Arabidopsis thaliana: one gene and its partner. The protein of the gene in region 1 purifies or fractionates together with the protein of each later gene. This does not show direct contact. Each region holds a gene or a part of one and is shown on either strand. Other genes may lie near its edges.

The links.
Region 2: the proteins of LTP4 (region 1) and AT1G48610 fractionate together in Arabidopsis thaliana (co-fractionation; one large-scale study listed by BioGRID). This does not show direct contact.

The regions. Positions count from the first base shown.
Region 1 is NC_003076.8:23,924,379-23,928,097, reverse strand, and holds LTP4 (lipid transfer protein 4), read left to right. Parts: upstream 1-2,140; 5' UTR 2,141-2,325; coding exon 2,326-2,654; intron 2,655-2,792; coding exon 2,793-2,802; 3' UTR 2,803-3,108; downstream 3,109-3,719.
Region 2 is NC_003070.9:17,969,795-17,974,984, reverse strand, and holds AT1G48610 (AT hook motif-containing protein), read left to right. Parts: upstream 1-1,582; 5' UTR 1,583-1,904; intron 1,905-2,181; 5' UTR 2,182-2,186; coding exon 2,187-2,675; intron 2,676-3,555; coding exon 3,556-3,618; coding exon of another isoform or gene 3,619-3,663; exon of another isoform or gene 3,664-3,871; coding exon 3,872-3,958; 3' UTR 3,959-4,374; downstream 4,375-5,190. Other genes in the region: HON5 (high mobility group A5), read left to right, coding at 439-513, 607-837; ATHAL3B (Flavoprotein), read left to right, coding at 4,905-5,190. UniProt on the Arabidopsis thaliana protein: May bind DNA.

The DNA of each region.
Region 1 (3,719 bases):
ATCACATTCTCCTTTTCCATTGGACCACCTTTCATCTGCTTTTAATTAACTGTGGCCATAAGACTTAGTGAAAGAAAAACAAAAGTTGCAGTTTTTAAACTCTTAAATATAAAGATGAATAAATTTTTTTATATATGATCACAAATTTTAAATGATTCCAACAGTTTCTTATGAAGTACTTAGATTTTCAATACCAAAATTCTTAGCCTGGTGAAGGAAGCCAAAATATTGTTTTATTTGTATGAATTTTGGTTAAGTCATTATTCTAGAATTGTAATGAAAGAAAAAGAATGATGAGCATATAAAGTAGTGATTAATTAGTGGTTCAATTTGAGACGCGGAAGTAGTTTGTAGTTGGTAGTTGGTAATTTGAAATGTGAAATGTGACTTGCATTTACTTGTTTTTCCTCTTCCAGAAATTTGTGGATTATATTATAAAAGATAATTGGTGAGTATTTAAGGTATATTTTTAGTACAATCAAATACATTATTATTGTAATTGTAAGACCATTGCATTCTGAAATTTTGGATTTTTTTATTGTTAATATTTATATTTATTTAAAGGATTCCTTATAGTACAAGGACCTTAATTAAAAATTGATTTCAGAATAGTAAATGCAGTAATGTGTATAAAAGTTGAAACAGCTTTAAGACATTTTCCATAAAATAGTTGTAGTAGTTTTTACAAGTTTACTATAACTATTTCTTTTAGCAAAAATAAATTATATTTGTAACCTGTTGTGTATATCTTAAGGAAAACTAAGAAAGCTCTACCATTTATAAAAGCCATTTTTTGACAAGATGGAAACCATAAATCAAAGCTCACAATAATCATCATAATCTTTGGAACACCAAGGATTCTTGCAGTTTCATATGAAGATTATACGGAATTGCACTGATTATTTTAGTGTTATTTTAAAATGATAATGATATTTTATATATCATAAATTTGATATAAATGATGATATTTTACAGAATGAAATGTTGTTATACATACTATACCTTAAGAGCATATAACATGATATAATTGCTACATTAGTGTCGGTAGAGGTTTGTGTAGTCAAATTGTGACTATTAAGTACTACACATGTGAGACATTTATCAATCTTGTACGATGTTGCTTGACGGTTTTTGGCTGATAGTATCCAACACCATACATCAACCTTTCACGTCCCAAGCTCTCTAAGACATCGGAGAAGCATCATCACATGCGTACGTAGAAAGGAAACACAAAAGTTAAAGACATTTTGTAATATGTGTAACTATGAGACATATATGAGACTGCATGTGACTATGAGTTATATATGGCTTATAGAGCGATAGTGTTATGGAGATTATATTGCATTCATGCTATGTACTGCATAAGACGAATTCGGTTTCGTGTATTTATTCCCGCTTGAGTCTAGAATTGGTTTCAAGTATAGTTAGAAAAAGACTGTTTTTTTCGTCCTATTATGGTTCGTATACAAAATTATGCATTGAATTGATGTGGCATTCACGTAAAAATCTTCCTGCAGGGCTATAAAACGTATTTTTGGCGTACGATTATAATAAATTTTGTTATTATTCAGATTATTTATTAAATCTTTTTTGTTGTTGACAAACGCATTTATGTTAATGATTATACGAAATATCGAGAAAAACTCCATATAGCACCTCTATCATTCAATTATGTAGTAAGTCATAAAATGTGAACTTTGCTAATTATAATGGCCATAATTAGTAAACGTGATGGGAGAATTGTGATGTTTAGTGTTGGATACACGTGTCTATCAGCTGCACATCGCATTTAATTGGACGGTATTACATATATAGTACACATAATAGCTGACATTTCATCTACAACGAAGATACAAATTTTTAAACGATTTTCTCTTGTCTACTACAGTATAACATCGCTCTAAACATGCTAATTAAAAAAACAAGTTTAATTAACTGCAGATAAATGAATATATATTTTTTAACAGTATAGCTGTATATATATTGACGTATTGGTCTTTGTACATTCTGAAAACTGATACTATTGTTTACATAATTACATATGACTGGAGAAACTAATTATTTTGGTTAGTAGAAGAAACATAACTACATATGACTGGAGAAACTAATTATTTTCGTTAGTAGAAGAAACTAGAAAGAATGCATGAAGTAAATGCAAAACCAACTACTAACAAACCCTACTTAGTCATCATTTTTCCCCCATACGAAATCCCTATATAAACCCATCATCATCTCCCACTTTTCTCACATCCAACAACAAAACACAAGCGTAGAAAACAAAACTCAACTAATTGTGTTATCACCCAAAAGAGAAGAGCAAACACAATGGCTTTCGCTTTGAGGTTCTTCACATGCTTTGTTTTGACAGTGTTCATCGTTGCATCAGTGGATGCAGCAATAACATGTGGCACAGTGGCAAGTAGCTTGAGTCCATGTCTAGGCTACCTATCAAAGGGTGGGGTGGTGCCACCTCCGTGCTGTGCAGGAGTCAAAAAGTTGAACGGTATGGCTCAAACCACACCCGACCGCCAACAAGCATGCAGATGCTTACAGTCCGCTGCAAAAGGGGTTAATCCAAGTCTAGCCTCTGGCCTTCCTGGAAAGTGCGGTGTTAGCATCCCCTATCCCATCTCCACGAGCACCAACTGCGCCACGTAAGTTTTTAATTGAGCAGTACTGCTCATATTCTCTCTAATATTTTTTTTTAACTTGGCTAATTTCTCGATCTTGAGACGATGACTTAATCTTTCTAGTGATGTAATTTATACTCTTGATCGTTTGTATTGTTGCAGCATCAAGTGAAGTGGGGAATAACGACATCATTTGCCTGAAGAGTATGGTTTCGTATACGTAAAATAAGACGGCTATCTAAGCTGATATTTACCTTGTCTTTGTTTGTCTTGATGGCTTTGTAATCTTTTGCTTTGTTATGTTGTATACTTGTGTCTTAACATGTTTAAGATATGATAATATATAGTATCGGTACCTTATTAATCACCTTCTCTTTATAGTTTATATATCTTTCCGCCAACGCACTCATACGTAAAAATCATATAGTGAAGAGTCTTATAACCAATAATATTAAGCTCTTTTTAAACAACAAAAACCATATTATAAGCTCTTAGGTTTGGAGTGAAATTATAATTTTGAGATTGGTAAAGTGTAAACCAAATTCTATATATAAATACGAAGAAAAAATGTTGAATGGTACGGTGTACCTCATCCAATTATTAACTTACCGACGACACGGAATTGATATCACCAGCATAATTGAAAATAAAATTCAAAATATTACTAACAAACAATATTTAATTGATTAGGACAAGTAACAGTGTTGTTAAGTATAATAGAAAATAAATATTAAACATGCATTATTCAATTATTCATAAAACTAAAAGAGATTTCATCGAGTTGATTATGAATCAAGTTACTTTTTACTAAGTAAGTTTTCATTTGGTATGAAGATATGTAAAGTTACTAAGTTTTCATTTACGGATTCATCGCAGACAAATTTTCGTCAAATCTAGTGTACCTAAAACAATTGGCTTTGATCAAGTATACTGCGACTTCAAAGAGAATTATTTTCAAGAATTTGTATTGACATAAGTTATTCGTATATGAATACATAATTTTTTTAATTCCTTTATCAATTAAAATATAAAACAAATCAAATCCCAAATACTCAAAAAGTCAAAAGTTAATTTCGAGTTAGGGCAAAA
Region 2 (5,190 bases), on another chromosome or scaffold:
TTGTCTTGTGAATAAATGTCACTTTCCATTCTCAACATTGTCTCTTTCGAGCGTGTGTGTGGAGACTAGAGAGTATCTAACTAAATAAATTCTAGAGTTTAATTTATATTCGTGTCTCTGCTTTTGGCCTATACTTAATCTGGTTTTGTGGTGTACTATTAATCTAAGATATCTCTTTGTTTGGTAATCAAGAGCAACTTGGTAGGTGGCTCGCTTTAGCAACCAATAATTGTTCAGTTGAAGTGTGAGAATTACATATGAACTTATCTTTTGAGACAGACATCTTATCAAGTTTTGTCTGTTTTAAGCAGAAATTTAGTTAATTCAGTCAAAGTTCAAGAGTTTGTGTATTTCCAAGTCCACTAGAATTTCTTTGTCTATTATATTGATGAGTTAGTTATCTAATTACATTTATATTATTGCCATTTATAAACATAGAATGCGGTGTCAGTGGGAGCTTCTGGACGACAAGATGGTGACTATGGAGAACTGAAGAAGAAGTTTGAGTTGTTTGTAAGTAATCTAATGAACAGAAACACAATATGGTCCGTCCTTGGTTTTGATACTTAATTGCTTATGCTTGGTTTTGATATCTCATTTATGCAGCAAGCGAGAGCTAAGGATATTGTAATTGTGTTGAAATCCGAGATAGGAGGAAGTGGAAATCAAGCAGTGGTTCAAGCCATACAGGACCTGGAAGGGATAGCAGAGACAACAAACGAGCCAAAGCACATGGAAGAAGTGCAGCTGCCAGACGAGGAACACCTTGAAACCGAACCAGAAGCAGAGGGTCAAGGACAGACAGAAGCAGAGGCAATGCAAGAAGCTCTGTTCTAAAGATAAAGCCTTGACATAAAAAGCTAGCAAGTGGTGGGTTTACTTGTTGTGTGTTACATGAAATTTTTAATCTTATAAGGGTGTTTGCAGGAGAAAAACAAAAAGAACAATGTGATGAACTGATGATGATGATTGTGTCTCTAACCAAACAACAAGGAGAGGTAGGGTAATGTCTGTAAAGTGAATTAGGATGTTACCATTGTTCATGCTTCCCATCTCTCTCCATCGTCCATATCTGTGTAGGCAGCTTTGTTCTTTGTTCCCTCGTGTTTTTTTTAGACTGTTGTGTCTCTTATTCTATTTTGTCTCCTTAGGCTTTTTAGGAGTTGTTGTTGATGTTTATCAAAAACGCTTATGTAATTTTTATGACCACTTCTACTTTTTATGATGGTTTCTTCAAGTCTCTTACGTTATGTAGTTAGAAAACCATTAAATAAAAGTTGCTTATGTCAGTTGCTCTGTTTTAATTTGAAATCCGGTTTTAATTTTAAGTGTACTTATTGCAGAAATTAGGTAGAAGGTATAGAACGGTTTTACTCTTCACTCACACACCATTTAACCAAATTTCTAAATTTATTACTCGATAAACACTTTTTTAACAAGTTTTCAATACTTTTCTCCAAAAAAATTTTGAATTTGAAATAAAGTAGTGTATTTTTCGATTTTGGTTTTATAAATCAACTTTTTTTTTTGAAAAAGTTAAAAAGAAATCACCACCACATTTGCATGTTATACTATAATACCAAAAAATTAATATTCGTGATTTATTTTAAAAATCTGTGAATTAAAAAGAAAAATGAAATGTTGATAAATAAAAATAAAAACAAGGAGTAAAGGTGGACCCATATCGGTTGACGCAACTGATTCTGAACCTCTCGGTCGTTCGTTTCTACTCTTTCCAAGCTCTAGCCCATGGTGGTGACCTTCTTCTTCTAACCGCGAAAACCATCTCTATCTCTCTTATCTTTCTTCTCCGCCAAGTTTCTCTTTGTAATTTCTTTCTTCTTCCTCCAGATTCTTCAAGCTTCCTTTACCATCTCGCGAATCCTTCTATTAAGTTGAACAAGGTACGTACATTGCGATTTGCGAACCCTAGTTTTTCTCAAAACGAAATCTCTACGCGTGAGAGCCTGAATCTGTGTTTTACAGTCTTCGTTTCTAGATTCTAGGTTTGTGACATTTGAAATTTCGTTAAGGTTTTAGCGAAATCGAGTTTCTGGTTGTTTAGTTTAAGTCTAGTCTCCGTTGATGTCCGTTTTTGCTAGGGTTTTGATTCCGATTAACCGCCGTTTTCTCACATTTTGCTTTCTCTTTTTTTTTTTTTTTTCTGATTCGCATCTACAGATCTCATGGCGAAAACAGCTCTTACTCCTCCCGCGTCTGGTTCCGAAGTTCCAAGATCCGGTACACCTGGAGATGCGTCTGGCAACAAACCTCAAACGGATGCCACCGGCGTCTCAGCTACTGATACTGCTTCTCAGAAACGCGGTCGTGGTCGACCGCCAAAGGCTAAATCTGACTCTTCCCAAATCGGTGCCGTTTCTGCGAAGGCGAGTACTAAACCAAGTGGTCGTCCGAAAAGAAACGTAGCTCAGGCTGTTCCTTCTACGTCTGTGGCGGCGGCTGTGAAGAAACGTGGTAGGGCAAAGAGGTCGACTGTAACGGCGGCTGTGGTTACTACTGCTACTGGAGAGGGTTCTAGAAAACGAGGGAGGCCAAAGAAAGATGACGTGGCGGCTGCAACTGTTCCAGCAGAAACTGTGGTGGCTCCAGCTAAGAGACGTGGAAGGAAACCTACTGTCGAAGTAGCTGCACAGCCTGTGCGCAGGACTAGGAAGGTATGTTTCTCTTTAATTTCATTATCTTTATTCACAAAATGTCAAAAGAAATTTAGAAATGGTCTGATACCAATTATATGATTGTTCTTGACTGTTTGTTCTGTATAGTGTGGAAATAATTCAGGGTAATGTCTTATTTGACTCTGGTCTCAAATGTGGTCTACTTTTAGGATTGCAGTATCTGAAATTCCCCGTATTTTTAGAAAAATGTGTATCTTATCTGGATTTTGGTGTATTTTGGGAAAATGTCTTATTTAATATTGTTCTTCTTGACTGTTTCTTCTGCATATAGTAGATAAAGTTCAGAGTAATGTCTTTATTTGTCTCAAATGTGGTCTATTGTGAGTGTGAAGTATCTGATATTATTCGTAATTTCTTTGAAAAGATGTGCATCTTATCTGGATTTTGGTGTATTTCATTAAATCTTTTTTTGTATAATGTGGAAGTGAAAGTGATTGGTCTATTTGGTAAGAAGTTATCATGTAATTTGAGTCCAAATAAATTTCACAAGTGTTTAGTTCATGTTAGACATAACAATGCTTAATGTATAATTTTAACAAAAGGTATATACCAATTATACGGTTGTTCTTGACTGTTTGTTCTGCATATATAGTGGAAAAAGTTTAGAGTTGTATGTTATTTGTCTCTGGTGGTCTCAAATCTGGTTAATTTTAGGTTCTGCAGAATTTGAAATGATTCGTAATATTTTGAAAAGATGTGTATAGTATCTGGATTTGGTGTATTTCTTGAAATCTATTTGGTTAGTCATTATCATTTCATTTGAGTCAATATCTACAAGAGTTCATGTAAGACATAACCATGCTTATACAACTGTGTGTATACTTATGTCAAAGTCGGGTTTTCTATGCATGAACAAAAGAGCACTTCAGTGGCACCGGTAGCTGCAAACGTCGGAGATCTCAAGAAAAGAACCGCACTCTTAGTAAGTGAACTATCCCCACTTAGCTTCTATAATGGTTTTTCGTAAACATTACTGTATCCCTGCATCAATTTGATTTAGACATTATGTTGTGTGGAGCACAAAGGATACTAGCAAGTCAACAGAATTGTTAGATTATGTCGTATAGCCTAGAAGATGGAATTGAATGGTCATTTGATTAGTTAATTAAAATGGATTCATTTCAACTAAAAAGAAAGAATCTGATGATAAGTTACTGAAATGAAAAATGTTGCAGCAAAAGAAAGTGAAGGAAGCTGCAGCTAAGTTGAAACAAGCAGTAACAGCAATTGACGAGGTCCAGAAGTTAGCGGATGGAATGTAAAAGAAAGCTACTGATATGACTGAATCCTACAAGGGATAATGATGATCGAGAAAGAAATCTTCGTATGTGTTTTAGGGAATTTAATTAGGAGAAAACATTCATTTGGAGGAAGACTGATTGGTTGTTAATGTTTGATTTTCACTTTAGGGTTGTTTGTTTGTACGTTTCTAGGATTTTGCTACCAGAAGAGGTTTAAACAGTAGTGTTAAAATGGTCTATGTGTAGCTCGGAGATGGGGGAAACTTTCACTCTTCCTTCTGAATTTGATTTGCTACGTCTTTGTTATCAAGAATTGTAACATTCTTTTCCTTTGAGGTTTATGAATTTGGAGTTATAAGAAGCTTAGTAGAAACCTAAATATCTCTGAAACTGTCAAATATCTTCACTAATTTGAAAATCTTATTCTGAAAACTGACACTAGTCTAATAAACATAATTGATAGTTTTCTATATATTAGAATCTATAATCGTTATGGTGCAAGGGAAACATAGTTGATTGTTAATAAAACAATTTAGGGGGACTTGAGAAACATTAACATTCGTATTTGTGTGACTGGGTCATAGTCTTACTGAACACAAAACCAGAATAAGGTTTTTGGATTGTTTCAGTTTCTTGTTGGGAAGGCCCATTTTTGATTAGTCAACGACCAGATTGACCAGCGATGACGTCGACTTCTCTGTTTTGTTTTCAAACTTAAAGACCCTCGCGGCATTTGATTTCGATTTCCGATTAGGGTTCCTCGCAGATCCTCCTTCCTCGGCTGTAACAAGGTAATGTCTCTAACACAAACTTTTGAATCCATTGATCTCTCGCTTCCTTTCTGATTTGACAAAAGATGATCGTTAAAATCCATGTTCGGATTCTGAATTCCTCTCTGAGAAATGAGAATCTCATAGATTGTTTGTATAAAATTTGATCCTGCTTCTGGATTCAGATAGAGAAGAAGATGAATATGGAAGTGGATACAGTAACAAGGAAGCCTCGTATCTTACTAGCTGCAAGTGGAAGTGTGGCTTCAATTAAGTTCAGTAATCTCTGCCATTGTTTCTCAGAATGGGCTGAAGTCAAAGCCGTCGCTTCAAAATCATCTCTCAATTTCGTTGATAAACCTTCTCTACCTCAGAATGTGACTCTCTATACAGATGAAGATGAATGGTCTAGCTGGAACAAGATTGGTGATCCCGTTCTTCATATCGAGCTCAGACGCTGGGCTGATGTTATGATCATTGCTC